3 linked regions of the Coturnix japonica genome follow. The protein of the gene in region 3 purifies or fractionates together with the protein of the main gene of each other region. This does not show direct contact. Links are inferred from orthologs where the notes say so. Each region holds a gene or a part of one and is shown on either strand. Other genes may lie near its edges.

The links.
Region 1: the proteins of OCIAD1 (region 3) and MTCH2 purify together in Homo sapiens (affinity purification with mass spectrometry; 3 studies listed by BioGRID and IntAct, with this or other methods). This does not show direct contact. The link is inferred for Coturnix japonica from reciprocal best matches to the Homo sapiens genes OCIAD1 and MTCH2.
Region 2: the proteins of OCIAD1 (region 3) and SLC6A8 purify together in Homo sapiens (co-immunoprecipitation; 3 studies listed by BioGRID and IntAct, with this or other methods). This does not show direct contact. The link is inferred for Coturnix japonica from reciprocal best matches to the Homo sapiens genes OCIAD1 and SLC6A8.

The regions. Positions count from the first base shown.
Region 1 is NC_029520.1:552,836-562,488, reverse strand, and holds MTCH2 (mitochondrial carrier homolog 2), read right to left. Parts: upstream 5,531-9,653; 5' UTR 5,459-5,530; coding exon 5,372-5,458; intron 5,298-5,371; coding exon 5,213-5,297; intron 5,137-5,212; coding exon 5,030-5,136; intron 4,953-5,029; coding exon 4,926-4,952; intron 4,859-4,925; coding exon 4,805-4,858; intron 4,731-4,804; coding exon 4,673-4,730; intron 4,564-4,672; coding exon 4,512-4,563; intron 4,427-4,511; coding exon 4,367-4,426; intron 4,022-4,366; coding exon 3,928-4,021; intron 3,837-3,927; coding exon 3,792-3,836; intron 3,718-3,791; coding exon 3,650-3,717; intron 3,385-3,649; coding exon 3,309-3,384; intron 3,217-3,308; coding exon 3,130-3,216; 3' UTR 2,989-3,129; downstream 1-2,988. Other genes in the region: NDUFV1 (NADH dehydrogenase [ubiquinone] flavoprotein 1, mitochondrial), read left to right, coding at 4-216, 290-456, 536-617, 710-855, 933-1,016; NUDT8 (nucleoside diphosphate-linked moiety X motif 8), read right to left, coding at 1,268-1,513, 1,594-1,671, 2,206-2,338, 2,429-2,649; AGBL2 (cytosolic carboxypeptidase 2), read right to left, coding at 5,697-6,267, 6,341-6,438, 6,508-6,605, 6,716-6,842, 6,919-7,081, 7,183-7,950, 8,032-8,182, 8,259-8,360 and 3 more; FNBP4 (formin-binding protein 4), read right to left, coding at 9,475-9,565. UniProt on the Homo sapiens protein: Protein insertase that mediates insertion of transmembrane proteins into the mitochondrial outer membrane. Catalyzes insertion of proteins with alpha-helical transmembrane regions, such as signal-anchored, tail-anchored and multi-pass membrane proteins.
Region 2 is NC_029527.1:9,106,988-9,116,733, reverse strand, and holds SLC6A8 (sodium- and chloride-dependent creatine transporter 1), read right to left. Parts: upstream 5,734-9,746; 5' UTR 5,630-5,733; coding exon 5,581-5,629; intron 5,290-5,580; coding exon 5,025-5,289; intron 4,954-5,024; coding exon 4,821-4,953; intron 4,673-4,820; coding exon 4,538-4,672; intron 4,452-4,537; coding exon 4,348-4,451; intron 4,274-4,347; coding exon 4,149-4,273; intron 4,079-4,148; coding exon 3,966-4,078; intron 3,899-3,965; coding exon 3,761-3,898; intron 3,387-3,760; coding exon 3,284-3,386; intron 3,210-3,283; coding exon 3,109-3,209; intron 2,904-3,108; coding exon 2,733-2,903; intron 2,248-2,732; coding exon 2,116-2,247; 3' UTR 1,724-2,115; downstream 1-1,723. Other genes in the region: epidermal differentiation-specific protein-like, read right to left, coding at 1-835; sodium- and chloride-dependent creatine transporter 1-like, read right to left, coding at 5,747-5,826, 5,924-6,124, 6,446-6,527; USP19 (ubiquitin carboxyl-terminal hydrolase 19), read right to left, coding at 9,567-9,746. UniProt on the Homo sapiens protein: Creatine:sodium symporter which mediates the uptake of creatine. Plays an important role in supplying creatine to the brain via the blood-brain barrier.
Region 3 is NC_029519.1:59,794,293-59,804,184, forward strand, and holds the start of OCIAD1 (OCIA domain-containing protein 1), read right to left. Parts: upstream 5,391-9,892; 5' UTR 5,295-5,390; coding exon 5,244-5,294; intron 4,716-5,243; coding exon 4,631-4,715; intron 2,616-4,630; coding exon 2,562-2,615; intron 2,080-2,561; coding exon 2,032-2,079; intron 1,010-2,031; exon of another isoform or gene 156-1,009; intron 1-155. UniProt on the Homo sapiens protein: Maintains stem cell potency. Increases STAT3 phosphorylation and controls ERK phosphorylation. May act as a scaffold, increasing STAT3 recruitment onto endosomes. Involved in integrin-mediated cancer cell adhesion and colony formation in ovarian cancer.

The sequences.
Region 1 (9,653 bases), on a different chromosome or scaffold from region 3:
CAGGAGTCTTTGGCTGTCCCACCACGGTGGCTAATGTGGAGACGGTGGCTGTGGCCCCCACCATCTGCCGCCGTGGTGGTGCCTGGTTTGCTGGCTTTGGACGTGAGCGTAACTCCGGGACAAAGCTTTTCAACATCTCTGGCCACGTCAACAACCCCTGCACAGTGGAGGAGGAGATGTCGGTGCCGCTGAAGGAGCTCATTGAGAAGCATGCTGGTAAGCACCATACTCAAATGCAATGGGACGGTCCAGCCAGGCTTGGCTCAGTGTATCCCCTCTATTTTGGCAGGGGGTGTCCGTGGTGGCTGGGACAACCTGCTGGCTGTCATCCCGGGGGGCTCCTCCACCCCACTGCTCCCAAAGTCAGTGTGTGAGACTGTGCTGATGGACTTCGATTCCCTGATACAGGCGCAGAGCGGGCTCGGAACAGCTGCCGTCATTGTCATGGATAAATCGGTACAGGGTGAGCCCTCCCCAGGCTGCCCCGTCCCCTGAATGAGTGTTCCCTGAGTGTGTCTCCTTCCTTCCTCCTTAGACTGACATTGTCAAAGCGATCGCTCGTCTCATCGAGTTCTACAAGCACGAGAGCTGTGGGCAGTGCACCCCGTGCCGGGAGGGTGAGCATGGGGCTGTGCCATAGGGTCCATCACTGTGTCACAGGGTCCATCACTATGACACAGGGCCCATCACCGTGTCCCTGTCCCCACAGGTGTTGACTGGATGAATAAGGTGATGGCCCGCTTCGTGCGGGGCGACGCACAGGCAGCTGAGATCGATGCCCTGTGGGAGATCAGCAAGCAGATTGAAGGCCACACCATCTGTGCACTGGGTGATGGTGCCGCTTGGCCCGTGCAGGTGAACTATGGGATGGCAATGGGATTTGAGGGGATTGACTCTCAGCCTCACCAACCCTGCTTTGTTTCTCAACCCAGGGCCTCATCCGCCACTTTAGGCCGGAGCTGGAGGACAGGATGCGGCGCTTCGGAGAGGCCAAAGCACGAGCGGCCTCAGCATGAGGAGGTCAGAATGGTGGCAGCAGTGGCAATGTGCTTTCGCTGCTCCCGGTGGGTTCTTGCCCAGTCTTGGGGCTCCTTAATAAACACTGCTGCAACTGAAGTGGTTTGAAACATGGCTTTTTAATAAAGTCACATCTAAACATCAACCAGTGGCACAGAGAGGGTGGACAGTGGTGTAACCATGCCACCCTCCATCCCAACACTTTCTACCTCCATCACCCCCAGAGCCTCGGCTCCTTCCAAAGTGCAGCTCAAGCCCTTTTTTGGGGAGCAATGACGCCGCGGGCAGGCACGTGGGTCTTCCTGCAGTACAGGTCGGGTGCCAGCAGCTCCAATGTCAGCTCGGTGATGATGGCTGTCAGCCCCCAGATGCGGTGGGGGCCGTTGAGGAAGACGGGCAGAGTGTAGCCGTAACGACCCGCAGTGCGGAAATGGGTGTAGCCCTGGTTCTCTTCCTGCAGGAGGTGCTCCAGAGGCAGAGTGAAGACCTCAGCCACCTGTAAAGGCAGGAAGAGGGTTGGGGGGACACACCTGGGTGGCATCGGGGATGGGGATGAAGTTTAGGGGGGTCACCCACCTCATCAGGGTTTGGGGACAGTGTCAGGTCCTCCAGGGGTCCCAGGTTGGCCACCACGGGGACCACGAGCATCCCTTGCTAGCAAGGAGCACGTGGCAGAGGGACAGGGTGATAAATGGCACTATGCTGCAGCCACCCCATATGTCCCATCCCAAACCCACCACGTCCCTGCCACCTTATCCCCAGCCACCCCATGTCCATCCATGTGTCTCCACTGCCCCACTCTCCATCCTGTCACCCTGTTCCCAGGCCCCACTGTCCCACCTCCCAGCCCCATCCTCCCTGAACCCCAATGTCCCCATCCCCACACACTCCATCCCTGTATCCCCACCAACTCGCCCCATCTCCACTGTGTCCCCAGTGTCCCTGTCACCTTGGTCCCGGTCACCTCTGTTCCATTTCCCAGCCACACGGTGTCCCCATTGCCCCCAGTTACACTTTATTCCCAACCACCAGCCCCGTGTCCCCCGATCCATGCCCCATGTCCCACTGCAGTTACCCCCACATCCCCATTCCGTTCCCAGCGTCCCTGTCCTCATTCTTCCCCATACACTGTCCCCACCCTTCCCATGTCCCATGTCCCCCTTGTGTCCCCCTGTCCCCGCTCCGTACCCTCTCGGGCAGCCCTCGCAGCCGCCCCCATACTCTGTCCTCCCGCAGGTTCAGCCCCAGCTCCTCCCGAGCCTCTCGCAGCGCGGTGCCCTCCGCTCCACTGTCCGTCGCCTCCCGTTTCCCCCCGGGGAAGCTACAACGGGGCGGGGGGGGGCAGCGCTGCGGCAGGGCCGGTTGAGTGGGGTGCCCCCCACCCCATAACCCCCATCTCCCTCCGCACTACCTCACATCGCCGCCGTAGGGCCCTCGCAGCCGGCTGCAGCGCAGCGTATAGAGCAGAGCGGGGCGGCCCCGCACGGAGCACAGCGGCACCAGCACGGCAGCCCCCGCCTCCCCGCCTCCCCCCGCCGCCCCCTCCGCCAGCAGCCGCCGGCAGCGCCGCTCCGTGGCCCCGCACAGCGTGACGCGATGCGGGACACCCCTCACCCAGCTGCCCACCCGCATGACTGCACCGCCCCGGGACGGAGGGAAGGACCGCCCCCCGCCCCCCCGGGGGCCTGCAGCGCTCCCAGCGGCTGTACGGCGTAGTTATGGGACGCTGGGTACATGGGTGCAATAGGGTGCAGCCTCCCCTGCAGGGCATGCAACGCCCTGAGCGGGCGTGCAACGCTGCTGCCGGATGTACAAAGGACTGCAGCAACATAAGGTGTGCCTGAACCTTCCCCTCCTGCCCCACAGCCCTGACACAGCACATTCAAGCCTCTTTGGAACAGTGGAGATCAACCAGGCAAGGCAGGATCCACCCCCCCACCACAAAAGCCCCACAACAGACACTCACACAGATGTTTTTCATCGCTCAAAATTAAATGATTAAAAAAAAAACCAAACAAAAAAACAAAGTATAGAAATCACCACTCGCTCATAATTGTTTCTCGGTAAAGATCAATGTGGGTTTATGGCTCCGCTCCCCCCCACCCCCCCACTTCAGCGGAACCTCCTCTCATCCCACACGTATCGTTTCCCTGCGGGCACCTTGCGGAAGAACAGGCTGTTTCCTCTGCTCATGTTGCCCTGGAACAGAATGAGGAGCAGCATGGGAGTCATTCAGGGCTGCCCTTAGCCCTAAAACAGCCCCATAGTGGCAGCCCCATAGTGGCTCTTACTTCCTTGTGCAGCTGGCTCCAGCAGTCCAGCCAGGAGGAGTAGGCGGGTGCATAGGGGAGCAGGCCCCCAGCCAGCCTGGTAAGGAGAGCACAGTGTTATTTCCACCCAGGGATAACATAGGACCCATCATTCCGCAGCCCTGAGCTCCATCTGTAACACTGCTGAGGCTCCAGCTCCCACCCCGCACCTCCCCATGGCCACGCTTGCTCAGCCTTGGGGGGTTGGGAACCATTCTTGCCCTCTGGGAGCTTCCTTTGGGGACATCTGACGTGGCTGGCACGCACACATGGTGAGCATGAGAGACGAGGGAAGGTGGTGGTGGTGGTGGCAGTGCGCTCACCCGCAGTTATTGACAGCCATCAGGTTGGAGACCAGCACGAAGGGGTATGTCAGCATGCTGGCGAGGAACTGCAAGGCAAAGCAAAGCTGCTCAGTGGGGAACACCATGAGCATCCCAACATGTCCCTGTGGGTTCTACTCACCCCGGTGACTGCCTGCGAGTAGCTCTTCATCTCCGTCATTGAGACCTGGGGGGGAGGAAGGCACTGTGAAGCCCACCTGGAGACCTGAGCATCCCTTGAGACTGTGATCACCCCCAGCCTGGCACAGAGCACATACCCCATTCTCCAGCGCGTATGTGTTGATGAGGTAGGCCAGCATGTTGCAGAGCCAGAGTGAGATGATGTCTCCAAGGAGCCGAGGAACAAGGCCCCTGGAAGGGAAGAAGTTTAAGGTTTAGGAGAAGGAGGCAGCAGATCTACACTCAATTGAAGAGCTCACAGCCTCAGGAATGTGGATACTCAGGAAATAACAGGCATGGTTTGATGCTTCCCCAGGCACCAAACAACCACATAGTGGATTACACAAGATGTGGGTGCTCCATCCCTACGGGTGCCCAAGGCCAGGCTGGATGGGTCCCTGTGCAGCATGATGTGATGGGGGGGTTTGTGGTCCCTTCCAACCCAACCATCCTGTGGTTCTATGAACGTGGGGCAGGTGCTGTGATTACATGCCATTAGCTTGCCCAACGAGTACATCCACAACCCAGAGCACTCACGCAAAGAACCCCAGGATGCCTTCTTCTCGGTAAATCGTGGCGAAGGCGCTTAGTGTTCCGCTGTACCAAGAAGAAGAGGAGAGGGCATCGGTCACACCAAACAGAGCCATGGGGGACATGGCTCCCTGTGGTTTCCCCCCTGTACCTGTACTTGGTCTCCCTGCCGATGAACTGCACCATGCATCGCAGGGTGATCACTGCGGGCAGAGCTGAGCTCAGTGTGGCACGGCGGGACGGCACCGAGGCCATCACCATGATGTCCACAGAGGCAGAGTGGTGGTTATAGGGAACCACGGGGGTACGTACCGTGGAAGGGGTGGGTGATGAGGGTGGCAGCAGAGCGAGCGACCATCTCTTGGGAGGTCTGGAGGAGAGAAGAGCTGTCAGAGGCAAAAAGAGCGGGCAGAGGGGAGCCCTGCAGCACCTCCTTCATCTCACCTCCTTCAGCACCTGCTCCAATGAGGACACGGGCTCCTTCTTGCTGGCTCCTGGCTGCAGAGAGGCAAAAGCATGAGGTAACCCCTGGAAATACCCCCCCAGCCTAAAAGCCCCCACGTACCTCAGCCTTCTCAGCCTCCTGGTACCGCTGTGGAGAGAAGCACAGTGTCAGCACTGACCCACCAGCGGCGGCTGGTAATGAACGCACGCAGGGGGGCACGGTACCTGCAGCACTTTGCTGTGCACCACGGTGCCGATGGCGCTGGAGCAGAGCCGGGGGGCCAGGCCTTTGAACAGCCCCGCTCTGCCATCCACCTTCACGATGTGTTTGGCTGCAGGAGAGACGGGCGGCATCAGAGACCCGCTGTGTGATACCGCCGCCGTACGGGGCCGTGCTGGAACACTCACCGTAGGCAAAGAGCCCTGGAAGCTGGTAGACCTGGCGGCCGAAGATGTTCCTGCCCAGGGTGGGCGGCAGCGGCTCGTATCCCACCTGCGGTACGACAGCACGGACGGTCCCCACGGCCGCCCCCCGAAGCGCTGCGCCGCCCCCCGGCCCCCCCTTACCTGCACCAGCACCTTCACGTACATGAGAGGCTGCGAGAGCACGGTCAGCCCCGAGCCCAGCAGCAACTGCGAAGCCTCGTCCGCCATGCTGCCGCCCCGGCGCCACGGCCCAAAGGACACCTCCACCGCTTCCGCTTCCGCCTCCTGGCGACTTCCGGCGCGCTCGCTTCCTACTTCCGGTCTGGTCGCCATTGCGACGCGGCCTACGTAACCCTGGGAGCCCGAGGCCTGCAGGAGCATGAGGACAACATGGCAGCCGGCCCTCGGCAGCCCAGCATCTCCCCCCATGCGACACAAACACGGCGCAGCCACGACAAAGCTGCCTTTAATGCCGAGTGCAGGCGGAGCAGCGCAGCGCTGTGAGGCCGGGCCGCCTCCCGCAGCCAGCAGCAGCAGCAGCCACACGCAGGGACAGCCCCGCTGTGGTGCCCCGTGGGGAAGGCCGCGCCCTGCCCTGCTGTGAGGAAGCAGTGCTGGTGGAGATGGGGGAGATGGCACCCCGTGTGGCCATGGCAGTGCTGTGGCGGTGGTATGTGGTGTGTGCACCTGGAACGGCTCCGTGCAGCTCCTCTGCTTCCTCACGGCCTCTTGGTGTGGGGACGGGGACAGATGGCGACGGCTGTGGCTGCTGGGGCACAGAAGTGGGGCTGAAGGCACTGCGAGTCCCACTATGGCAGGCAGAGGTTGGCTGAGCCACGCTCACCGGGTCACCGCTGTGACTCCATTGGGTGGCATTGGGCCTGCGCATGGCATTCCTCGCTCTGCGGCTCCAGAACCGCTTCCTCCTCCTCAGCTGCAGCTGAGGTGCCACACTGGCACCTTGTCCCTTCTGTCCCCAGGGGCTCTCGCTCCTCTCCAGGGACCCGTCAGACACGGAGCTGTCAGAGCCGCTGGTGCTGTGTGAGGGAGAAGACAACTGCAGCCAGTGCCACTGTCACTGTTCCCATGGATGTCACCACCGGGACACACCTGGACTCCAGCTCTGAGGTGGAGACGTCACTCCAGCTCTGCCCAGAGCCCAGCCGCTGCCGCAGCAATGCATCCACCTCCTCCAGGCACTGCTGGAACTGTATGATGGAGCCGGTGTCATTGTCACTGCACTGCGGGGCTGCTGCTGCCTGCAGTCACCCACCCACCTTGGCTGGATTGGGGTCACAGAAGTCTAGCAGTGTGTCACACAGGTGGTACCCCAATGATTTCAGGTCCTCCACAGTGAAGTGTGAGTTCCTCCCACCTGTGGGATAACAAAAGAAGTAGTTGCATCCCTCACCAGGCCCCAGAGCCTGTCCTTAGGGCTGGACTTGGGCTTCTGAGTGTGACGCCATCACCAGCGCTGCCCCTCACCCAGTGTGGAGCCACCAAAGGCCGCCTCTAAGGTGTAGCTGTTGGCAATGCCCATCCTCCACATGACCACCCTGCCCGTCCCCTCCTTGCTCTTCTGCACCTTGAACTTGCAGCTGGAGAAGGAGAACTGCGGCCCCACACCGTGACAGCAACCGATGTCACTGTGCTGCTGCCCACTGCAGGTTACCAGGCGCCAAGCCCACCTTGTCAGGTGCGTTTTTGCTTAGCATCAGTGGGAAAACCCGCTCCCGCAGCCGCATCTCAGAGCCATCCCGACCACCGTCGCAGCCGTACATGAAGACGTTGTTCTTGCGGCTGTGCCCGTGGAAATCACAGTACAGCACCACCTCCCTCTCCGCCAACAGCCTGCAGGTACCAGTCAGGATACAGCATCCAACACCCCACAGGTACCATTAAGGATATAGCATCCAACACTCCTCTGGCTGCTCTTACATCACCAACCTCACCTCTCCACCATGGCCCGCAGGTGCCAGACGGCTGGGAAAGACCCCTGAGACCCCGTCCTGTAGGCACGGTTGGGGTCACGGCCGGCCAGAGAGCAGCGGGAGTTACCCACCACCACCCCATCGGGGTTGAGCATGGGCACCACCTTGAAGACAAAGAGCTGGCGCAGGAGCTGAGCATCAGGAGCGGCGCTGAGGATGAAATCGAGGAAGCCCTGCATGGCCCAGGAGCCACCGCTTTCTCCTGGGTGCACCCGGGCACTCAGCACCACTGCACGCTTGGCTGCACCGCCGGATGGAGCAGTGATGGTGAGCATGTAGACCATGTTACCGGCCAGGCTGCGGCACAGCACCCGCACTGCACAGTACCGTGAGCGCGCTGGGTCAGCCGCCACTGCCTGCAGGTACCGCTGCAGGTCCGAGTAGGTGTAGGGGTAGCAGTGGGCGAAGTAGCACGTGTCGCTGTCGTGGGGAAAGCAGGCGCTCCAGGACAGGCGGAAGGCGGCCGACTCCTCCCCGCTGCCCCCTCGGTAATAGCGGATGTTGGTGCCGATGCGGCGCCAACCGATGCCGTGGCTCTGGGCATCCTTTTGTGAGTAGAACAGCGGGCACATGCCCTTGCCATAGAGGCTCTTCGGCTTGGCCAGATTGGCGATGGTGAAGCAGTAGGAGGTGTCTTTCCGTGTGTTTTGCACGCGGAAATAGAACCACTGGGTGTGCTTGGCGGTGTACAGGTCTGGCCGCAGCGTCAGCACATATTCATAGGGGCCCCTGGTGGGCAGAAGGGCCACACTTAGGCACCTTGGCACGTCACTGTGTCCCGCTGCCTGTTCCCATCACCACCACCCTTACACCTTCACTGCTTTCTGGAGGTTGCCACCCTCAAAGCGCGACTCAAACAGCAGCGTGTTGTCCTGGGAGCTCTCTAGGGTGGCTGCCGGTGAGGAAAGGGGGCCTGGGGCTCCCCCAGCCCGAGCACGGGTGAAGCAGGAGCTTGAGGGCACTGGGAACAGCTGGGCTTAGCACCCCAGGGGTAGCACGAGGGTGAGGAGGGGGGGAGCAGCACCCTTGGGCACTACCTGGGTTGAGCTGGTAGACGATGGTGCCCTGCTCCTCACCCATTGGTAGCTGTGGGTGGTCTGTGGGCTGGTAGAAGGGTTCTGGTTCAGGGGGGATCCATTCTAGGGAGGGATAGAGTCAAACCCCATTATCGTCGCAGGGGTTAGCCATGGGGACAAGGATAGGAAAAGGCAGAGTGCTACCTCACCAATGTGCTTGATGGTCTCCTTGATGACCTCACACTCAATGGGCCAGCGGGGAGCAGGAAGTGGTCCTTGTGCTGAGGGAAGGGCAAAGAGAGCCCGTGGCTCCCTGGGTGACTCATAACCCTGCAAGGGGATCATCTGCAGGGCCCTGGGGGCTGCAGAACGGCCCAGGGAGCTCCCAGCCCCGTGGTGCAGTTTGAGCAGAGAACAGGCAGCACGAGCTGGAAGGGATGGAGACAACGCTCCTGGTGTCACCTTGCCAGGAGTGCTGCAGCCCATTGCTGGGGGTTCTACTCACAGCTTGGGTCCTTCCCCATGCCCCACTGGGTGCCAGAGTCAGCACAGTGGCATTCAGTATGTCCCCATGGAGACACAGAGCTCTGCTGGCTGGCTGGCTTCTGGCCTTTGGGAGAGCATTGCTGGAGCCCAACCAGGATGGGGGTCCCACAGGCTGGGGGACAAGAAGGTGACACGCAGCTCTCACCTTGGAAGTAGCCGTAGTAGCACAGGTGTCCACGCATGAAGCTGTCGTAGGGCTCAGGGACAGCCTGGACAGAACGGTGCCATCAGGCCCTGCTGGCAGCCCCCAGTCCTCCTCCCAACCCCCCCCCCGGCAACCCCCAACCTGTGCAGCTGGGTGCCTTGGGAGCCACATGGCTTCGAGAGGAGCTCAACCCTCTTCTTTCCCCTTCTGTTCACAGACGCGGTCGCTCAGCGACCGCTGGCAGTGGTGAAGGATGGGGCGTTCCCAGAGTGGAGCTGGGAAAGGAGCCAGAGGAACCGAGTTGTTTGCTGTGCCCTGGTGGACACCAAGGGAAGCACATACATGGCCCATACCCCTCAGTGCCCATACTGCAGGTGACACTCCATCCCCAGCCCACAGTGTCAATCCAAACACGTGAACCCCAAACATCCCTCTTGTCATTCAAGCAGACGGCACATCCCAAACTGCTACAATTTATTGGACAACAGTTGAGTCATAAAGGGCTCCAAACTGTACAACTGTAAAAAACAGCGCTCCACGGACGCTTCATGTGCTCGATGCGGTTTTCCTCCGCTTCAGCCGTGCTCTCCAGTCCTCTGGCAGTGCTTCGAAGTTGGCGTTCCTCTCCGCCATGCCACTGCAGGGACAAAGCAGGGTGTCAGCACCCATGTGGTGCAAAGGGACACTCTCCCCACCACTCTTTCCCCAATACAGAGACTCCAGAT
Region 2 (9,746 bases), on a different chromosome or scaffold from region 3:
GTGTGCGCGGCGGCACCTTGGCGGGCAGGGCCACCTCGCTGCGCTCCCTCCTGGTGCTCGACTCGCTGCGGCCCTTGTGCACCGTGAACACGTTGCCGGCCTCCACGGTCAGCGTGAAGGAGAGCCCGGCCCGCAGGCTGGTGGCGTTGCTGAAGCGGAAGCTCTGCCATAGCGTGGTGCTGTACTCCCGGGTGCTGCCGGCCGCCAGCGCCTGCTCTGATTCGGTCTCGTTCACCCCCACGATCTCATCCACCAGCACCTCCCGCTCCTCCTCGATGCGTTTCTGGTCCCACAGGAGCCGTGCGGTGACCGTGGGGCGGCCGGGCCGCAGCGGGCGCAGGTGTGACAGCCTGGCCTGGAAGTTCAGCTGTGCCCCATAGTCGTCCACACGCTCGCCGGGCCAGGCCAGGCAGTGCCAGCCGCCGCGGTTGGGGTGCTGATACAGCAGCCAGACCCCGCGCTGCACCACGTGCGAGGCCACGCGGTCGTTGAAGTACCCGTAGGCCAGGTTGGTCTCCTCGCTGACCACCTTGCAGGCGCCCTGCAGGTGGGGCCGCTCGTACAGGGTGATCTGTGGGTCCAGCAGGTCGTGGTGCACCAGGCGCAGCGCCGAGAAGCTGTTGGGCCGCTCCACGGCCTCGTACTCACCCTCCTCGAAGACGTGCGGCTCGCCCTCGTACTTGGGCTGCGTGTAGGCGATCCAGGGCTGCCCCACCACCTTCAGCGACGCGATGCAGTCGCCAAAATCCAGCTCGTGCAGGTCGGGCACATCGCAGGTGAACTCACGGCTCAGCCCCTCGAAGTCGGCGCGCTCATACACCGTGATCTTGTTCATGGTGCTGTGTGGCCCGCAGCCCCTGCACCTCCTGTCCCCGGCTGCCCTCCCTGCCCCGTCCCGCTGCCTCTGCTCTCTGTGTTGCTGTGCCCCAACGCCGCCCCGCAGCCGCTGCTTTTATCACAGGGCTGTGACATGCTGTGACATGAGGGCCCCGCCACGGCCCCACGGACCCGCACAGCACAGCGGGATGCCCGCAGACCAGCCCTGCCGGATCGTCCTGCCGCACCCCAGGCACATGGCGCTCCAGCACTAACGAGTCACCGGCAATTAGTAGGGGAGCTTCCGCCCTGCCTGCACTAATTATGGTGTGAGATGGCGGTGGGGCCGGAAAGGCTGGATCACAGTGGTGGGGTGAGAGGGTGCAGCGGTGGGACCAGCCAGTGTCCCAGGATGAGACCCCACTGTGCCCCGGTCCCACTGGGACTCAGTGCAGCCCCTGGCACAGCACAGCACAGCCACTTGGCATGGCATGGCCACTTGGCACAGCACAGCATGGCATAGCCCCCCACCACGGCACAGCACAGGGTGTTACAACAGAGCCGTATGACATGGCGTGGTGGTGTGACAAGGCATGATGCAGCGACGGCCTGGGCAGGCGGTGCCACTGTTCCCTCCCTGTCTCTCATGATGGGGACATCCCTGACCTCACTGCTGGGCAGGATGCCCATGGACTTCCTGGGGCAGCATACACCGCTGACACCCCCAGCCCCACATCAAACACAGGCTTGTGCAACTCTCAGTCCCACAGCCCTCCCACAGCCAAGTGGGCACAGGGCAGCAGCTGCCTCCTGCAATGAGAGGTGGCCCCTTCTCCACAGCCCCTCAGTGTCACCACCCCCACACCCAGTTCCTCCCAACCTGGTGCCACCATCCCAAGCCGGGGTGTGCCAGGGTCTCCCAGTTTATTGCCAGATGTCGGGGCGGTTGGGGTTACACCAGACAAACGCTACAGAAGCGGTTAGTGAGCGAAGTGCCACCGGCCGGGGCGGCCGGGCTGGGGGGCAGTGGGGCATAGGGACGGAGGCCAGGGAGGAGCTGTCCTACTCACTTACCCCCTCCCACCACCCACACCCCATGTCTTACACCCCCCTCCCGGCGCTGGGGACCCCCGTGGCCGCCCCGTCCCCGTGTCCCCGAGCGGTTCCCACCACCCCCTACTCCCTGCATAGAGGCTGGGACAGTGCGGCGGGGGGGGCCCAGGCGCGGGGCTGCATGGGTGGGAGGTGGTGCTGGCATTATTGCTATGGCGGGCGGGAGCAGCGCGACCCTCCCCACGCTCAGATCACAGTCTCGAAGAGCGTTGTCTTCTCCTTGGGGGGCTCTGGGGCCAGCAGCTTGGCTTCGGCCTCGGGCGTCAGGTACTCCAGGTGGTGGTGGCCCCAGATTGGCGTGGTCAGCAGCTGCCAGCGCTGCAGGGACATGGGGTCAGCATTGGGGACGTGGCACAGAACAGAGCATGTGGGTGGGGATGGGGTTTGGATTAGGGGGGACGGGGACAGAGATGGCGTTTTGATGGGCATAAGGCAGGGATAGGATTTGGACTGGGAGGAAGGGATTGAAATGGGACTGAGAGAGGGGGTAGGGCAGCAGTGGCAGGGTGAGGATGGGGACTGAGATGGCACTGAGAGAGAGACAGGGATGGGGACAAGGATGGGATTTGAACAGAGACAATCATAGAAGCGGGGATGAGATTTGGATGAGGTTGGCTTTGAGCGAGACAGCGATGGGGACAGTGATGAGATGGGGAGAAGGCATCAGGGATCAGGATGGGATTCAGCTCAGGATGGGACTGAGCCACCAACGTGAGGTGATGGGATGGAAATGCCAGAAGGAACAGGGAATGGATTCAGGTGCGGACGGGGACAGGGACCAGGGTGGCCCGGTGCTGCCTCACCTCGCGCAAGGAGCCTTTGCAGCGCAGGAGCTTGTAGATGACAGTGCAGGGGATGCAGAGCATGGAGGAGAGAGCCAGGACCCAGCCGATGGCGTCGCCCCACCACGGGTACACGTAGGTCTTGTTGTACGTCAGCGGTTTGTAGTTCACCACGTGGAACAAGAAGATGCCCTGCGCGGAGCGGCAGCGAGCTCCCACGGCCGTCCCCACGCGCGTCCCCCCGCACGAGTGTCCCACCCCCCACCCACCGCCGTGCCCGCAGCCGCCGCCGGGGGGAGCCCGGAGCCCGCGGAGCTCCGGCCGGGGCAGCGCGCACACGGCCACGCGAGGGCGCCCGAGCGCCCCCCGACCCACGCGCGACCGCGTCCCCGCTCACCACGCAGACCAGCGGCGTCACCACGGCCCAGCACCACTTCATGAAGGGCAGCGGCCGGTAGCCGATCATGCGGGCCACGTCGTCCATGAAGCGGTCAGCGCCTGCGGGGACGGGGACGTCAGCGGGGTCCCACGGGTGTCCATCCCTGCACCCCTCCCCATCCCCACAGCCTCACCGTACACCCAGGCGATGACCACGCACTCCCAGAACGCCTGCCACAGCAGCGTGATCCCGCTGGCTGAGTAGTTGTCGAACAGCTGGAACACGTACATGCCGCCCTGCGGGACAGCACTGCGTTCACCGGGCTGCTCCATGGGCACCCAAATGGGACAGGGACCCCAAATGGGACGGGGACCCCAAATGGGACAGGGACCCCCCAGTGCTATGGGCACATTCAGTAGCACAACCTTCCCAAATGGCACAGACCCCCCATATGTCATGGATCCTCTAAATGGCACAGACAGCCCAACGCCATGGGCACCCCAATGGCACACACAACACCCCAAACGGCACAGACACCCCCAGTCCAAGAGCACTCCAATGGCACAGCCACCCCAGATGGCACAGACACCCCACACAGCCATGGAAGCTCCAGCCCCATGCCACGGGAAGGCACAGCCCGGCCCTGGCCCATGTCCGTGCGCGTCCCCACCTGTGTCACCATGGAGAGGTCGATGAGGCAGCAGACGATGCAGCAGAGCGCGGCCGTGAGCTCACGGCGCAGTGAGCCGGCCCCCGGCTGGGGGAACAGGTCCAGGATGCCAGTGATGAAACCCTCCACACCGACAAACTGCGGCACACAGAGGGGTCAGCAGGGGCACAGGGTCCCAGCCCCGTCCCCGTCCCCACTGCCGTACCTGGCTGTCCAGCCCCAGCACCAGGAGCATGAAGAAGAAGAGCGTGGCCCACAGCGGGGACAGGGGCATCAGTGTGACGGCTTTGGGGTAGGCGATGAAGGCCAACCCGGGACCTGCAGGACAGTAGGGTGAGCGGTGCCACCCGCTGTAGGATACACAGGGCCCGCAGCACGCACCACTCACCCGATTCGGCCACTTTGGAGATATCCACGCCCTGCTCTGAGGCCATGAAGCCCAGCACGGAGAACACGACGAAGCCAGAGAAGAAGCTGGTGGAGCTGTTGATGACGGCCAGGATGTAGGCGTCCCTGTGGGCACAGTGGGTTATGGGCTGTGCAGGAGCTCTGTGGGGCTCTGCGGGGTCCCGGCGGCGCAGCCCTACCTGTAGCAGTTGTTGTGGAAGCGGTTGTAGCTGCCCAGTGCCGTCAGCGCGCCCAACCCGATGGCGTAAGAGAAGAAGATCTGAGTGCCAGCGTCGATCCAGACCTGGGGCATGGGGACGGCGCTGGGGTTTAGGGGCACTGCGTGTCCCTTGTCCCTCTCCATGGCCTCGCTGCCCCCCCCGCCCTCACCTGCGCCTCAGCCAGCTTGGACCAGTCGGGTTTCAGGTAGTAAACGATGCCACCCAGTGCACCGGGCAGCGTCACGCCGTGCACCAGCAGCAGGATGAGGACCACGTAGGGGAACAGCGCCGTGAAGTAGACGATCTGTGGACAGGGAGCTGGTCAGAGCCCCGTGGGGCAGGAGGTGCTATGGGGCAGGACGCCCCGTGCCACTTGTGTCCCCATCAGGGCTGGGGTTTGGACGTCCCCAAGCACTGGTGGCACCTCCCGTACAGCCGTGGGACCGCGTTACCTTCCCGGTTGACTTGACACCTTTCCAGATGCAGAAGTAGACGATGATCCAGGTGGAGACCAGGCACAGGATCATCTGCCAGTTCATCTCCCCCGGCTCGCTCAGGTCCCCCGACAGCCGCAGCACTTTGTTCCTGCATGGCGGGGTGGCACTGAGCACCAACACATCCCCGTCCCCTCCGCCCCGCGCCGTCCCCACACTCACTCCCAGAACTCGATGACGGGTGAGCGCATGTCGGAGCAGCTGACGTTGAGGGCGGTGGCGGCGGCGCTGGCGTTGGCGCTGGCGTTACGGCACAGCTCCAGGTGGAAGAACTCTGCGCAGCGCTCCGTGTTCCACGCGTGGCCGCAGGTGGCCCAGGGCAGCTTGTCGGTCAGCGAGTGCACCAGGTAGAAGAGCCCCCACACCAGGATCATGATGTAGTAGGAGTTACAGAAGAAGACGATCACCATGGAGGCCAAGCCCAGACCTGGAACGTGGCGGTGGGGTTGGCACGGGGCTCTGTGTGCCCACAGTGATCCAGGGGGAGAGGATGTGCCACGATGGCGGGGACGGGATGTGCAGGTGTGGGATGATGGGCAAAGGGATGGCGTGGGATCAGCCATGGGCACAGTGGGGACTCGTGGCTCTCGGGGACGGTAACGGGGAGCTGCAGGGCAGGGCAGGGAGCTGCCATCCTTGGCTGCGGGACACGGGGCGTGGACAGGGAGCTGCGGGGGCCCCGCGCAGGGCACGGAGCAGGGGGGAGGACGGCGAATACCTTTAAAGAGCGGAGCGATATTCCACGCCGCGATGCCCCCCTGCTTCATGAACTGCCCCAGGGCCACCTCCAGGAAGAAGACGGGGATGCCGCCCACGAAGACGATGAGCAGATAGGGGATGAGGAAGACGCCTGGGGGGGGGGACGCGGCCGTTCAGGGTACGGCTCAGCCGTGCCGTCCCCCCCTCGCCGGTCCCCCCCGCGCCGCCCGCCGGGCGCAGCGAATGGCGAGCGTCACTCGGCGCACTCCCCCTCGCCGCGCGCCGATGTAGGTCAGGGCGGGCAGGTGGCGGACCCCCACCACCCCCCCCCACACACACACACACCCCGCGCCGGGGCTCACCTCCTCCATTGCGGTAGCACAGGTAGGGGAAGCGCCAGACGTTGCCCAGCCCCACGGCGTAGCCCACGCAGGACATGATGAAGTCCATCTGCCGGGTCCATGTCTCCCGCTCCGGGGCGGCCGTTCTGGGGGGGCCGGGGGCTCCCACCAGCGGCGCCGTCACCGTCCGCTCCTCTCCCGCCGCGGGGGGCTCGGTGCCCTCTGCCGGGACACGGACGGGAACTGGGGGGGTGGGGGGGCAGCGCCGCGTCACCAGCGCTCACGGGTGGGGAGGAAGGGGGACGCGGGGGGGGGGGGTCCCCATGTCCCGCGCGATCCCCCCCCGCGCCCCTCGCTCCGCGCGTGGGGGCGTGACGTCAGATGTCAGCCCGCCGCGTGACGTCACAATGCGAGCGGTGACTCACCCCGCGCGGGACCGGAGGGGCGCGCCGCGGTCGCGCGTCGGCCGTGCAGGCCCCCCCCCAACCACCCCCCCCAACGCGCACCGCATCCCTCCCCGGCCCGGTTCAGCCCCGCTCTTACCGGAGCCCGTCGGGGCGGCGGCGTCGCGGCTCGGGGCGGCGGGAGGCTGCGGGGCGGCCGTGTCGGCGGGGACGGGGGGCATGGCGCGGGGGGCCGGGGACCGGGGGCGGCTCGGGGGCGGCTCCGTGCCCGGGGGGAGCTCAGAAGCAATCCACGAAGCACTTGAAGGTGAGTCGGAAGAACCTCATTGAGGGCGGCGGGGCGCGGCGGGGCGGGCCGGGCCGGGCGGGCGGCTCAGAGCCGGGCTGCGGGGCCGGCGCCGCGCGGCCGCTCCGGGGCTCTCTGCGCCGCGGCACCGGGCGGCGGCGGAGGCAGAGCCGGGCCGCGCCGCCCCTCGAGAGCCATTGGCCGCGCCGCCCGCCCGCGGCTTGCCGGGACTTGCAGTCCGCCCCACCGGCACCGGGACGCGGGCACCGGGCAACGGGACGCAGCGGGTGACGGGGCGAACACGGGGTGAACGCGGGGCGCTTGGGGCGGCAGGGCGCCCCGGGGGACGTAAATCGATACGAAATTGAAGGAGGAAAAGACCTCTGAGATCACCTAATCTGATTGCGATTGCAGTTCAACCTTCAGCCCACCCCCACCGCGCCTACCGAGCAACGTCCCCGGGCGCCACATCCACCGCGGTGCTCGGGGCCGTAGGGCACAGCGGGAGACACCTGGGTGCACGCGGGGACACGGGGCACGAGGGCACATCGGGTGTTCCCCGACAGCAGCGCCACGATGCACCGGCACGGCGGGTGACAGCGCCGGGATGATGCTGCATGGCAACGGGGGCTGTAGGGAACACAGGGGGCTGTAGGGGACACTGGGGCTGTAGGGAACACCGGGGCTGTAGGGGACACCGGGGGCTGTAGGGGACACTGGGGCTGTAGGCAGCGCGGTGGACACGCAGTACCCGGGTCGCAGCCCGGGGCGGGCAGCAGGCAGCAGAGACGAGCGGAGTTCAGCAAGTTTAATGAGAGCAGGACAAACCCCGACCCGTGCCCGCCCCCCACCCGTCCCGGTGCCCAGCCCGGCCCGCAGCCCCATGGCGGGTGCCCGCGCTGCTCTAATCGACTTCTTCCATGCTGCTGTAGGACGGCGCCGGGCGCTCGGCGGGGCTGGAGAAGCGCTCGGGGAGACCTTCCGCAGCCAGCGGCGGGGCTCCTTCGGGGGCCAGGCCGGATCCGAACGGCACCGCAGTCAGTCCCTGCAAGCAGAAGGCGGCCGTGAGACAGTGCACGACGCTGCATACCGCTCTACTCCCACTCCGCTCCCGGCAAAGGCCCCGGCTGGAACGCAACGAGCCCGGAGCGGCCCCGCACACGGCCCCGACCTGCCCGAGCGCTGCAGCCGGGCTGCGGCACGCTCAGCATCGCCGCTACGCGCCGTCCCGTCCCGCACCGCCGCCATGGGCCGCTGCGTTCGGTCCGGGTCCGCGGGGCGGGAGCGGCAGCACGGGACGGAACCGTCACCTGCGGTTGAGGCAGGTGCAGGGAGCGGTGCGTGGCCTCGAGCCCGGGGCGGCAGCGCCAGGCGGAGCAGAGGTCACCCCGCAGGCGCCGGGCGCTGACTCAGCCCCACGAGGGCAGCGCCGTGGGCGCGTGGGGGCCCCAGACCGCAGACAATGAGGCGACTGTTCCAGGGCAGGAACGTCCCGACGGCGGGGAGCACCGGGCTGGGACCCGTGTGCAGGAATAAGGGCCGGGCAGCACAGCTGTACGACGAGGACAGGGATGGGGGGAGGTGGGGGGACTCCAGGGGCTGCACTGCCCCGCTCCAGCCTCCCAGCGCTGACGGGGCCCCGACCGTTCCCACTGAGCATCCTTCCTGACACACACAAGGGCACTGCCGGCAGGACGGCAGCGGAGACGGAAAAGGAAGTCACAGGGCTCTGAAGTCACCTCTCAAACCCAAACACTCCCGAGCAGCCCGAGCCTCGCTCAGCCAAGGGCAACACGTCTCAATGTCACGCACCGCTGCAGCTACAGGCCTTGCCCCAGCCAGGCAGTGCTGTGAGCTGCCAGGCCCGCCGGGCACCCAGCACGTGCCACGGCTGTTGCTACACACCTGGGGCCCCTCGGCACAATCAGAGCTCAGCCTGCACCCCGCTGAGCACAGGGCAGCACCTCAGTGCCGGCTGTGCTGTGAGACCAGCTCAGGGGCAGGGCAGGGACACTCCATCCAGCTGCCCTTTGCACTGGAGCAGGCTCGGCTGCAGAGCCTCTGGCTGCTGCCACGGTCCTGTCACACAGAAGGTGCTGCAGCTCTTTGGAAAACCTGCCTTTATTGGCACACGCCGCAACGTGCAGGAGAGCGACGCTGCCAGCACAACCTCCCACGGGCCTCCTGCAGCCCAGCTCCTTCCTGCTGCTCCCCGAGCCCATGCCAGTCCCCCAGTGAGGTGCTGCCTCGTGCTCCCCCAGACCCATCCCATTGTAAATTGGGACTTCCAGATGCAGACAGGGACAGTTCAGGGAGTGCTGTGTGTGCCCCAGCACAGTCTGCCTGGGTGCTGCTCTTCCATGCCCCAGGGTGAGGAGCAGTGCTGAGGCCAAGGCCCCCGACTGAGCAAGGAAGTGCAAAGCACACGGTGACAAGTCATCCAGTCCCCGCACAGGAGATGATGCTGGCCTAGAGGGATACAGCTTCTGCCGGCTCTTTAGAATGTGAGGCTCCCAAAGCAGGGAGCAGTGGGACCAGCGATCGTGTCAGGGCATCCTGCTCTCACAACAGGCTCCGGGCAGGGCTCTGCTTGTTGCCAGGATGTTCCCAGTGGCAGCGGCACCGTCCTTTCCTGAGCAGCATGTACCACTGGGGCCAGCCCCGATCCAAGCAGGCAGCCAGGGCGAGGGCGGGCTGAGGGGATGCTGGTTCTGGGCTGTGCCCTGGCAACGCTGGGGGCCGGCCACGCAGCCCTGCCAGCTGGCATAGGGGATGCCAGAGCAGACAGACAGGAGCCGACAGCCCCAAGCTTCCCTCCGAGAGCATTGGTGCCCGCAGCAGGCGTGTCCTTCCCACAGGGTTCTGTCCTGCTGCCCGCAGGGTTCTGTCGGGCCACCTGGCAGCTCTGACGTCTTCGTGGTGCAGCATTCTGGCACGGCGTGTGCCCCGGCAGCCCTGCTCTGTTTGCCCACACCTATCTCCAGCGGGTTTGGTAGATGAGCGGGTAGAACACATTCAGGAAGAGAGCCACGATTGCGGCCGTGGTGGCCAGGATGAAGTATTTGATGCAGCCTTCGTCTGGGTGTTGGGGGGTACCCGGACTCCTCTTCTGGCCACGGGGCCTCCAGGAGTTTCTTGCAGGCCTTTGGGGAGC
Region 3 (9,892 bases):
AAGGAAAGTGGAAGATACTTAACACACACAGAGGGAAAAATTTAGAGCCTTTAGAATGCTAAAAGAAAAAAAGTAGTCTTAAACTGTTTTACTGTTGTTTTACATCGACAATGAGCTAGCACCAGTACTCAGAACTGCGCATGTTCTTCTTTCAGAGCCCATGGGGGAAAAAGAAAACAAAAATAATGACAACAGCGTTGCTTCCTTCAAGCAGATTTCACTGCAATGGGAATGTACAGTTAAACTATGAGACACCACGTGGAGCTGGCAATCATTTCCAGGAAGAACCTGTAGACAGTAGCCACATCTGACGTAAACAATGAGGATGGAATGAGAACTGCTTAACTCAAGCCTTTTAAACCACAACCTGCATCCCCCCCAAAAGTCCAGTAATCAAACTGTATCTGCTAACCTGCACAAACCTACCGAAAGGCAACCAAAACACACTTTTAATGGAAATTCTTTTCACTTAAAATGAAAGCCTATATGTTCACCAGTGTATGCTGAAGGTAAGTTAGAAGTATTAGCCACAGTTTCAAGAACAGTTGGTCTGGCCCATTTCAAAGTGTAGTTCTGCTAAATACATGGAACATCGTCTTCAGCGACATATGCGTAGGAGGTGTCAGGAAAATAGTAATTCTATTATCCATTAGAAATCTTTGTACTGTTTAGCATTCGAAAAAAGCAAGTAGAACTTGCTATAAACAAATGGCAGCCCTGGTCTCTCACATTCATTTATCTGCCTAAACAACACTTCCTTCATCACAAATCATGGCTTTTGCCCTCTTCCCACTGAAGTAAACTGTGATAATAACTGGCTGTAACTGGCTGCATCTAAGGAGATTGGCAAGATGGTGAGTTCCTGTTTTACTGTTATGTATTACATTCAAATGGCTAATTTATTATTTTTTTTAATTATAGTTAACCCAAAATCATTCATGAGAAATTGCTGTCTTCCCATAATTGTATAACAGAACATCCAGGGAAAAAAAAAAAAAAAAAAAAAAAAGCACTAAAATAGGATGAATGGGATAAGTGAGACACATGAATAATGACCTTCAAATTAGGAAGGGAGGGGTGGGTGTACCCTGGCAAAGTCCTTCAAGCCAACTGCACTGCAGCAGCAGTATATTGTTCCAATATTTTAGGAGATATTATTTGGACCTACAAACTTTTAAGCAATGTAAAAAAGTTCTACTTGCCAAAGCAAAAATATTGAACAGATTCTGCAAATATTAAATATGTTCAAAAATGAGGTTCTGATAGAAGCATCACAAACTGCTAGTATACACAGTTTAGGTGATAGCAAAAGAAAATGTTTGTGTGTGTTTGTTTCTTCCCTCCTGCAAAGTTTACACAGACAAGGAAAATACAAAAGCTAGGTCAAAAGAACATTTTTACTTAGTTCTTTACAGTTGTAACACTCTGAATAAGATGCTTCAATAGCAACAGGCTACATTCCTACACACACTCCTAAGCATGAATTTATTTCTGATGAATTTCTGATTCCTCTTTAATCTCCATCACCAAAGGATACTGACCCCCAGCAGACCACAATGAAAAGGAAAATAAATAAGGAAATTTATACAATGCCTGTTTACAGTGCTTTTATCTTTCATTCTCATATTACTGCTGTGAAGAACAGTTCCAATCTTACAACTATATAGAAAGCCTAAAAAGAAAACTTGTCCTAAATCTGCTGCACAAATTCAAATATGATTAATTGCTCTACCTCTTGATAGTGTACAGTTTTTTTTCCCAGTATTATATGCTGTTTTTAAGAAACATATGCTGTTTTTAAGAAACATTGCAAAGAAGTTACTGTCTGATAGAATCCACTGCAGGAGGTGAACTTTACTCACTAGATATATCTGATTGTGTAGGCATGATCTTCAAGCAGTTTTACTGATCTAAGCACAGAGTGAAGTCATAGTCAGTGAGCCAGCTGGTTTCATGGGAGTTACAGCTGAGTAACAGACTCCAGAACCTAAGACACAAATGCCAGCTAATCTGTACACAGCTTTTACTTACATACAACTTTAGTAAAGGAGCCAAATCTTGAGCTATCTCTTAGAATGCCTGAAAATGAGAGACCAAAGTAATTAATAACAAGTTATTAAGTTGAAAAAAACCCAACCCATTAACTGTTCTATGAATACAAAATCAGAATTCTATTGCATAATACCAAGAGTAGTGGACAACACTTTTACTGTTAACATTCAAAAGAATGCAAGAAAACCTAACACTGCAATTGCCCACGCAATTCTAACAACCTAAGAATTAGCTCTTTAATCATATCACAGAGTACCACTACGTTCAGTCAAATCTATTGTTTCATAGTCATAGTGATACTGTATTTGTAGAGCAAAACAAAAGGAAGAATAATTTTATTTTCATTTAAAGTTCTGCTCCTTCTTTAGCTTCAGAAAGTGCATGCCATATAGCTTAAGTCTGAACTCTCTTAGTTACCCATAGATGTAAAAATTATTATAGCTCCTTAATTAAGCAGAAAGGTCATATCTCAGCAAATACAAGTGAAACCAGGTATATTTACAGTTTACCTTTTTTGATTAAGAAACTAGTAGCCAGCATGCTTGCTGCAGCCAAAGGAAAAGCTGTGAAGAAGAAGAGAAGTTATTTCAACACAGTATTCAATGTAATTAACAGAACAGGCAATAAAACGAAAAACACTATGTCTTACTAAATTCATTTATATGAGTATATGCACAATTAACAAACTGTAAGAGCTATGAAACATTCTCAGTTCCAGCTTTTGAGACCCGTTACAAGTTATGCAATACTGGTTAATGTGTCATCTTGTCCTCGAACTTCAAGCTTCCTAAAACCTAAGAGCCAGTTGCAGCTGGGGAAAAGGGACAAGGTGCTGACATCCAGCTACAGCTCCTACAGCATCAAAACACAGCACTTTAAACCTGAAAGTTTACACAGGCTTTTAGAAGAGATGGCTGCATAGAAGCCAGTGCCTCTAAAAATGGTTGGTAATCAAAAGGTTTGATTTTATTATGAGATCGTTTAAATAATTCCAACTCTCTAAGAGATACAAAACAATGGGATTAAAATGAGATAATCAGAAGAGTCAATGAAATCAAAGAGTCAATCAGCAATCAAATAACAGAGCAGGTTGTTTTTGTAGTTTATGGATCACGCTACCCAACTTTGGGGTAGGATCAAATGCAGAGAAGGCAATGAACGCAGAACTGCATTACTACATGTCACAATCTGCTTGACCATTTACATCAGTTTTTATCACACTGAATGACTACAGATAGCAGGAAGTACTTGGAGATGGCACGAAGCAAAAGGAATGCTTCCAAGCAATTATAATGTTTGGAAGATAACGCTGTTATGAAACTATTCATAGTACCAAGAACACACCAGATATAATAACACTGAAATAATGAATCACAGAATGACCTGGGTTGGAAGGGACCTCAAGGATCATGTAGTTTCAACCCCCCTGCCTGGCAGAGCCACCAAACATACACATTTACTAGATCAGGTTGCCCAGGGCCTCGTCCAACCTGGTCTTGAACACCTCCAAGGACGGGGCATCCACAACCTCCCTGGGCAGCCTGTTCCAGGGCCTAACCACTCTCCTAGTGAAGAACTTCCCCCTAACATCCAAGAATGTTGACAAAGTTAAAGGTAATGGCATCAGAACTCATAACGAAATTACATACTAAGCAAGACTGCAAACATAGATGTTACAAAAAGGCTACTTGAATTACATTAACTTCGTCTAGGGGGATATTTTTCTATTGTAAACAGCACTAAGTTTTTAGTGTTCTGAAGCATGTAATTTGTTAATTAAGTTCCTATGTTAAAATAAACAGAATTTTAATTTTTACAACACTATTTAAATACACATTGCAGACTGTTGCTTTTTGCTTCCCAAATTCAGACAGAGCTAAGATAGATTAGGAATCCAACATTAGGGTAAACATGGCCAGATGTCACATTTAAGAACAAGTACGGGCTCTATGGCTTACAAGTGAAGTTAAAGCAACAAAGCAACATTTCAAAGAGAATGTAACCCTCCAATCCACTGAATATTAGAACCCTTTGAGTTTTAGAGATGCTACGGCAGATCTTCCATAAGATCAGGTTCTCTGAGATACAGAATGCGAGCTTAGATTTGAATCTAAGTTAAAAGAAAAAACAAAGTTACATTAAAAAATCTAGCAGAACTTATTGCAGGGGAATTCAGCTTAACCTTCAGAGCTCAGAAATGATTTATAAGCCCAGCACAAATATTCTGGACATCAAAGACAAGTGATACATTATAGTGGAAACAAATGCTACAATGTGGGCCTACACGTAACATAAAATGATAACTAAAAATTAAAAAAACAGCCACAGGGAAACAAAAATTGGGAGTCAAACATAAAATCACCATAACTAGCAGGTGTAGAAATTAAACAAAAGATTAACAAATCAGAGCCCATCCCCACTTTTCACTGTGATGTGCAAAAACTACCGCGCTTCAGGAATGAAAGAAATCTTCAGAAAAACATTAAGAGGCAGGAATGGCAACATCAGGTCATTGAGGAGGGGAATGCAATGCATCCTAGTTCAAATGGGGGAGAAGGTCCTATCAAACCCAACTCACCTCGGTAGCGGGCGCTCTCTTCAGCACACTCCTTGAGGAGCCTCCGTTCCTCTTCTGTTGGCACATAGTGCTTAGGGACCGTGTTCTTTCATTGGGGAGAGCAATAAGAGAAAGCAAAAGGATTTAAGGGGATTCTTCCATTAAAAACTTGTGACTTTCAGACCTCATAGCGCCTGTACTTCAACACAGCTATGATGAAGAAGTGAGCACTTCTCCCCAGCTCCCTGTGCAACCATCTTACAGCTGAGTAGAGGACATTAAGTGCCTTCAGATATACTCCATTGGACTCCCTGTCAAGGTGCAGAGGCCCCAAGTGAAATCATAGCTTTGGGTATTTATCTAATTTCAAAGAAAAGAAAAGCTGTGGTTATACCATTTCCCTTCCCACCTACAAAAGGTCACGGACAAGCAGGCCTCAAGGGCACGGCGGGCCACAGGGCACGGAACGGCGGGCCAAGGCCTGACCGGAGCTACACGGGGCCCGACTGCAGCCACACCGCAGTGCACCCGTGGCGCCGCGGCCTCGCACCTCACGGGAACGGCCCTAGTACTGCACGGCCCCCACAAGCTCCCGGGGCCTCCAGGCCCAACGGCGCCGGACGCTTGGCCGTACCTCAGGCGGGTCGCCGAGCTCCCTGCCGCCGGGACCCTGCCCGGCCTCCATGGCGGCTCACAGCCAGCACGGCCCGGCCGCACCGACACAACCGCCACCGGAACCGCCCTGACGGCCCTCCGCCAGGCTGCGGCCGACCCGGAAGTGCTGCGGAGCACTGCGCATGCGCGACGAGCTCGGGGCGGCGTGGGGCCGAACCTGGTGCCGGGCTGGGCCTGGTCGGTACCGGGCTGCAGGGAGCTGGGTCGGGGCTGCAGGGCTGGGTCGGGGCTGTAGGGAGCTGGGTCGGGGCTGTAGGGAGCTGGGTCGGGGCTGTAGGGCTGGGTCGGGGCTGTAGGGAGCTGGGTCGGGGCTGTAGGGAGCTGGGTCGGGGCTGCAGGGAGCTGGGTCGGGGCTGCAGGGAGCTGGGTCGGGGCTGTCAGCTTCAGCCAGCTGTTCTGCTGTGGGAACAGCAAAGGAGGACGTGGGGCCTCGTGTCGCTGTGGCAGTGCTGTGCTTGGACCCGCTCCGCTGTTTTCTGCCCTTTTTTTTTTCTTATTTATTTCTTTCCCTCGGTGTACAGGCTGGGTGCATCAGCAGGCGGGACGCAAAGCATTAATTTCAATAGAGAACGTTTCCTTCCTGTGCCTTATCTCGTTTCCTGCCTTCTTAAGGAGAGCCACCCTGTAATAAACGTGAGAGCAGGCACAGCTGCGGCACTGCGAATCCTATGAAGGTAATCACTATGCGGCTGTTCTTTTATTTGCTGTGTTGTTAGCACCAGGCTCCTTGCTTGGCTGCATACAGGGCTCCCTTCCCCTTGGTTTAAATGCTGCCCAAGGAGGAACCTGGCACACAGCTCTTAGCGGTGCTGGAGTGTGCTCAGAAAGCAGAGCCTGCAGGGCTTTGTTATTGCAATGGGTGATAGCGGGTGAGCGCTGGGGATGAGAAAGCAGGAAGAACCGAAGGGGGATGGAGGGGAGAGGGGAGATGTTTGTGATAATGCGGTTTGTTTTCAAGCTTCCTTGTAAAGTGTCAGTATTGCTGCGCCAATTGTCAGTGCAGCGCTGTGCCTCTACATGCCTGGAATGTAGTGCTCCCTGCCAGCCCCGCAGCCAGCCCTGCTCTCTGAACACTGGGATTCAAGTGAAGAGGCTTAAATTGCTGCTGCCAGATGAGTGCACAGAAAGAGCCTGTGCCTGAAGATAGGAAATACGAGGTGTAGAGGCTGAAGGTGTCAGAAATCAGCAGGGAACGTGCATGTAGAGTGAGTGAAATTAGCACAGAATGCGACTGCGATCTGCCTGGTAACACAGATCGGTGCCAGCCTTAATCTCTGCTCATCACCGAACGAAGCCTTGTCCACACCTGAACACACCGTTCATCCCAAAGCAAGATAACTTGAATTCCCGATAGTTTGATTTATTTAACTCATTTCTGAAGGCAGTTTATTTAATGCTTCTGGGTACAGATAACAACTTTATTCTTCCCGTTCTGGGTAAATCTGGCTAACAGCTTGTTGTTAAAGCCTGCATGATGCTGTGGGGGATGTGGGAACTCAGTCCCTGGCTGCTCATCGTGGAGCCAGGCTCCTTTCAGCGCGGCCCCGTTGGCAGCCAGCGCTTCTGGGGGGGCGGGACTACCCACCGCCTCAGCCTATCGCCTGACAGCAGGCCGCCGTGCGTGGCGCTTTGATTGGCCGAGAGTCACGCCGCGGGGCGGGGCTTGGAGGGCGGGCTCGACCAGAAGGAGCCAATGGGGATGGGGCGTGGGGGCGGTGCCGTGTGAGTGCTGCGCTCGCGCCCCAGTGAGCGGCGGTTCGTGGCGGGGCGGTGGGGGCGGGAGGTCGGGCCGGGCCGGGCCGGGCCGTCGAGTTACCGGAGGGAGCGGCGGATACAGCGGCATAAAGCGGCGTGAGCGGCAGAGCCCGCTTCCCGACGGCGGCGCTTTGCGGGGCGGCGGCGCTCCGGGAGCGGTGAGGGTGAGGTGGCGGCCGGACCGTGGGGAGGGGGAGGGAGCGCTCCGACGGAAACGGGGCTTGGTTGGGATGAGCGGCCGGGCCACTTTGTTTACGGCGGGCCGGGGGCGGGCGGCGCTCGGCACAGCTGCCCTCGGTACAGCCGCCCGGCTGGAGCGCCGCCCCGCCGCCTCGCTCCGTCCCTCTCCTCTCCTCTCTCCGTCCCTCCTTTCCGGCCCTGCCGAGCTTCCCCCGCTCGTTCCCTGCGGTGTTGAGGCGGCGTGGCGGCAGCTCCGTGGCCGGGAGGCGCTCGGCCGGGCCTCGCGGGCCGAGGTTCCGCGCTTCGTAGTGACCGTGCGGCGGCGCCGGGGGCAGCGGCCCTGAGGCAGGCTTTGTTCCCGGCCCCGCCCCGGCAGGCGGCAGCGTCGGGCCCGAGCCTCGTTGGGTTCGTTTTCTCGCGTTGTGCTGCCCGTGCTGCTGTAGGTGCGGCGGGGGATTGGCCGCGTTCTCCCCCCGCTCGGCTTTAACGTGTGTACTTGCTCTACTTCGCTTCTGTGCTCGTTGTGGTTGGCTGTAAGAACGCTCGGCGAGCGGCTCAGTTTGTATTTTAGCCAGAAATCCGTGGTTCAGTAGCGATTGTACGGTTAGTTCCAGCTCGGAAAGAATCGGAAGGGAAACAGAAAACAAAGCAAAAACCAAACAAACCGTGTTCTGGGGGTCGCTGAGGCTGAGTTGTCAGAGCCATTTGTTGGCTTTGCTGTGAGCCGCAGTGCAGAGGTGAAGGAGAAGGAAACCTGGGCTTTATCTCCCCGGAACCGGAGACCTGAGTGCAGCTGGGAGCACACGCAAAACATGTGGGCTCTTCTGTACTCGTGTCCTGGCCATCCCCCAAGCTTAGGCTTCGTATGTTGCAAATGATAGGTCAGGTGGTGAGGCATTGAAACGAGGCCAGAGATAGCAAAGTGTAGGTAGGTTGCTGACCTGGCCACAAAGAGCCATGTGTATTTGCAGGAACAAAGTAGTGTGGAGCATGTAGAGTGCTGTGCTTCGTGAGGTGATTTACCTGTAGCTATTTAAGAAGTTCCTGCAGTGTGCCTTTCTATAGGTTCCCTGCTGTCGCTGTGGCACTGAGAATGCACTCCAGCCCTTCAGAAGCTCAGTGGAAGCTTGAGCAAGCAGTGGGAAACCACACACTGTGCCTCATCTTGTGGTGTATCACAGGAAGGAAGTATAACCCCAGGTAAAAATGGCAGTGCAGGCTTAGTAAGTTGAGTGCTTACAGGTGAGAACAATGCTCTGCGTCAGAAGCTTGTTTTATTTGCAGAGGCTCCTGGAGGCCACTGGCTGGTGGTATGTGATGGCAGTGCCTGCTCAGGAAGCAGAGTGGTGGTACGTTGCTTTGGGATGCTATCTGCTATCACAGAAAAGTACTGCTGAGCTTTGTTTCAAAAGAAAAGCTGTTGTTGTGCGACGTGGTGTAGGGAACCTGCTTTGGCAGGGGGGGTTGGACTCGATGATCACTAGAGGTCCCTTCCATCCCCTACAATTCTGTGATTCTGTTGGTTCTTCAGGATGAATTTAAGGTTGAGGTACTGAGCTAACTTCACTTGTGTGTTTGGCTGCCTGAACTAAGGGAGCACAGTCACAGCTGGTGATCATGTCATAGCATTACATCCTTCAGGAAGGAGATGGAGGGCTGTAGGTTACTACAAGGTAACTATGTAAACGTCTCATTTGTTCATATTATTGTATTAATGCCTTTCCAGTGTTCTACCAGCCCTGAACAGCTCAAGAGTGCTTCTCAAATGTTTTTGTTCTTTCTCTGCTGTAAATATTTGTCTTTCTAATTTTGGGGGTTAAAATTAATTGATGTGCAGAAAGTTTTTGCTAATACAATTGAGAACACCCTGTCTGTATTTACTTTTTCTAAGAACTTAAGAAGATTATAATTAAACCCAGCTCCCATTGGCTATGTATGAAAGAAACCGACTTGGAAAACAAGGTGTTCTGCATTAGAAATTGCCTATTTTGTATCTACTTCTGTACTTCAGGGAGTTTTATCTTGGTCTCTTTGGCTGGTGGCAGCTGGTTCATTATGGCACAAAGGATTAAATGTTTTCCTTTCTTTTTCAGTCCGAGCACTGTAAGAGGCATGCAGGCAGACTGTACACTTCAGTGGGCTCATGTAATCCAGATCATGAGTATAGAATGTGCTCCCTCTGGTGTAGAGAGCCACGAGCTTGTGGTGGCTCTTGTATGCATTTGAGCCATAGCTCAAGGGCAATCACAGGTGTCGTGTTCCAACAGCCCTGTGAGATGAAGGTACCTCAGCGTTAGAGATGAGTTGCACAAGTCACCGTGAGAACAATGAAGGTAGCGGTTTGGGGTTGTGACCACGTGAGGATCTTCAGGCCTGCGCTGTCCTACCAGTGGGAAGTGCAGGGCAGCTCACCCACGGTGCTAAAGCAGCTGCCTCCTGCAGTCTGGCTGTGGCTTACCGCTGTGCAGCACTTCTGCACGCTCACACCCAAACAACATTGAACCTTTATGACTTCTGGGGCTGTAATAAACCTCTCAGGAATGATCATGGGCTGGAGAAGAGCGTGGCAGTGTGGGAGGGTTTTGCAGTTCAGTGTTATTCTTGTTTGGTCTCACTCCAAATCCCAGTCAGCTCCAGTGATAGGTGTTAGCCAGACTGATTCAACTAGGGTTG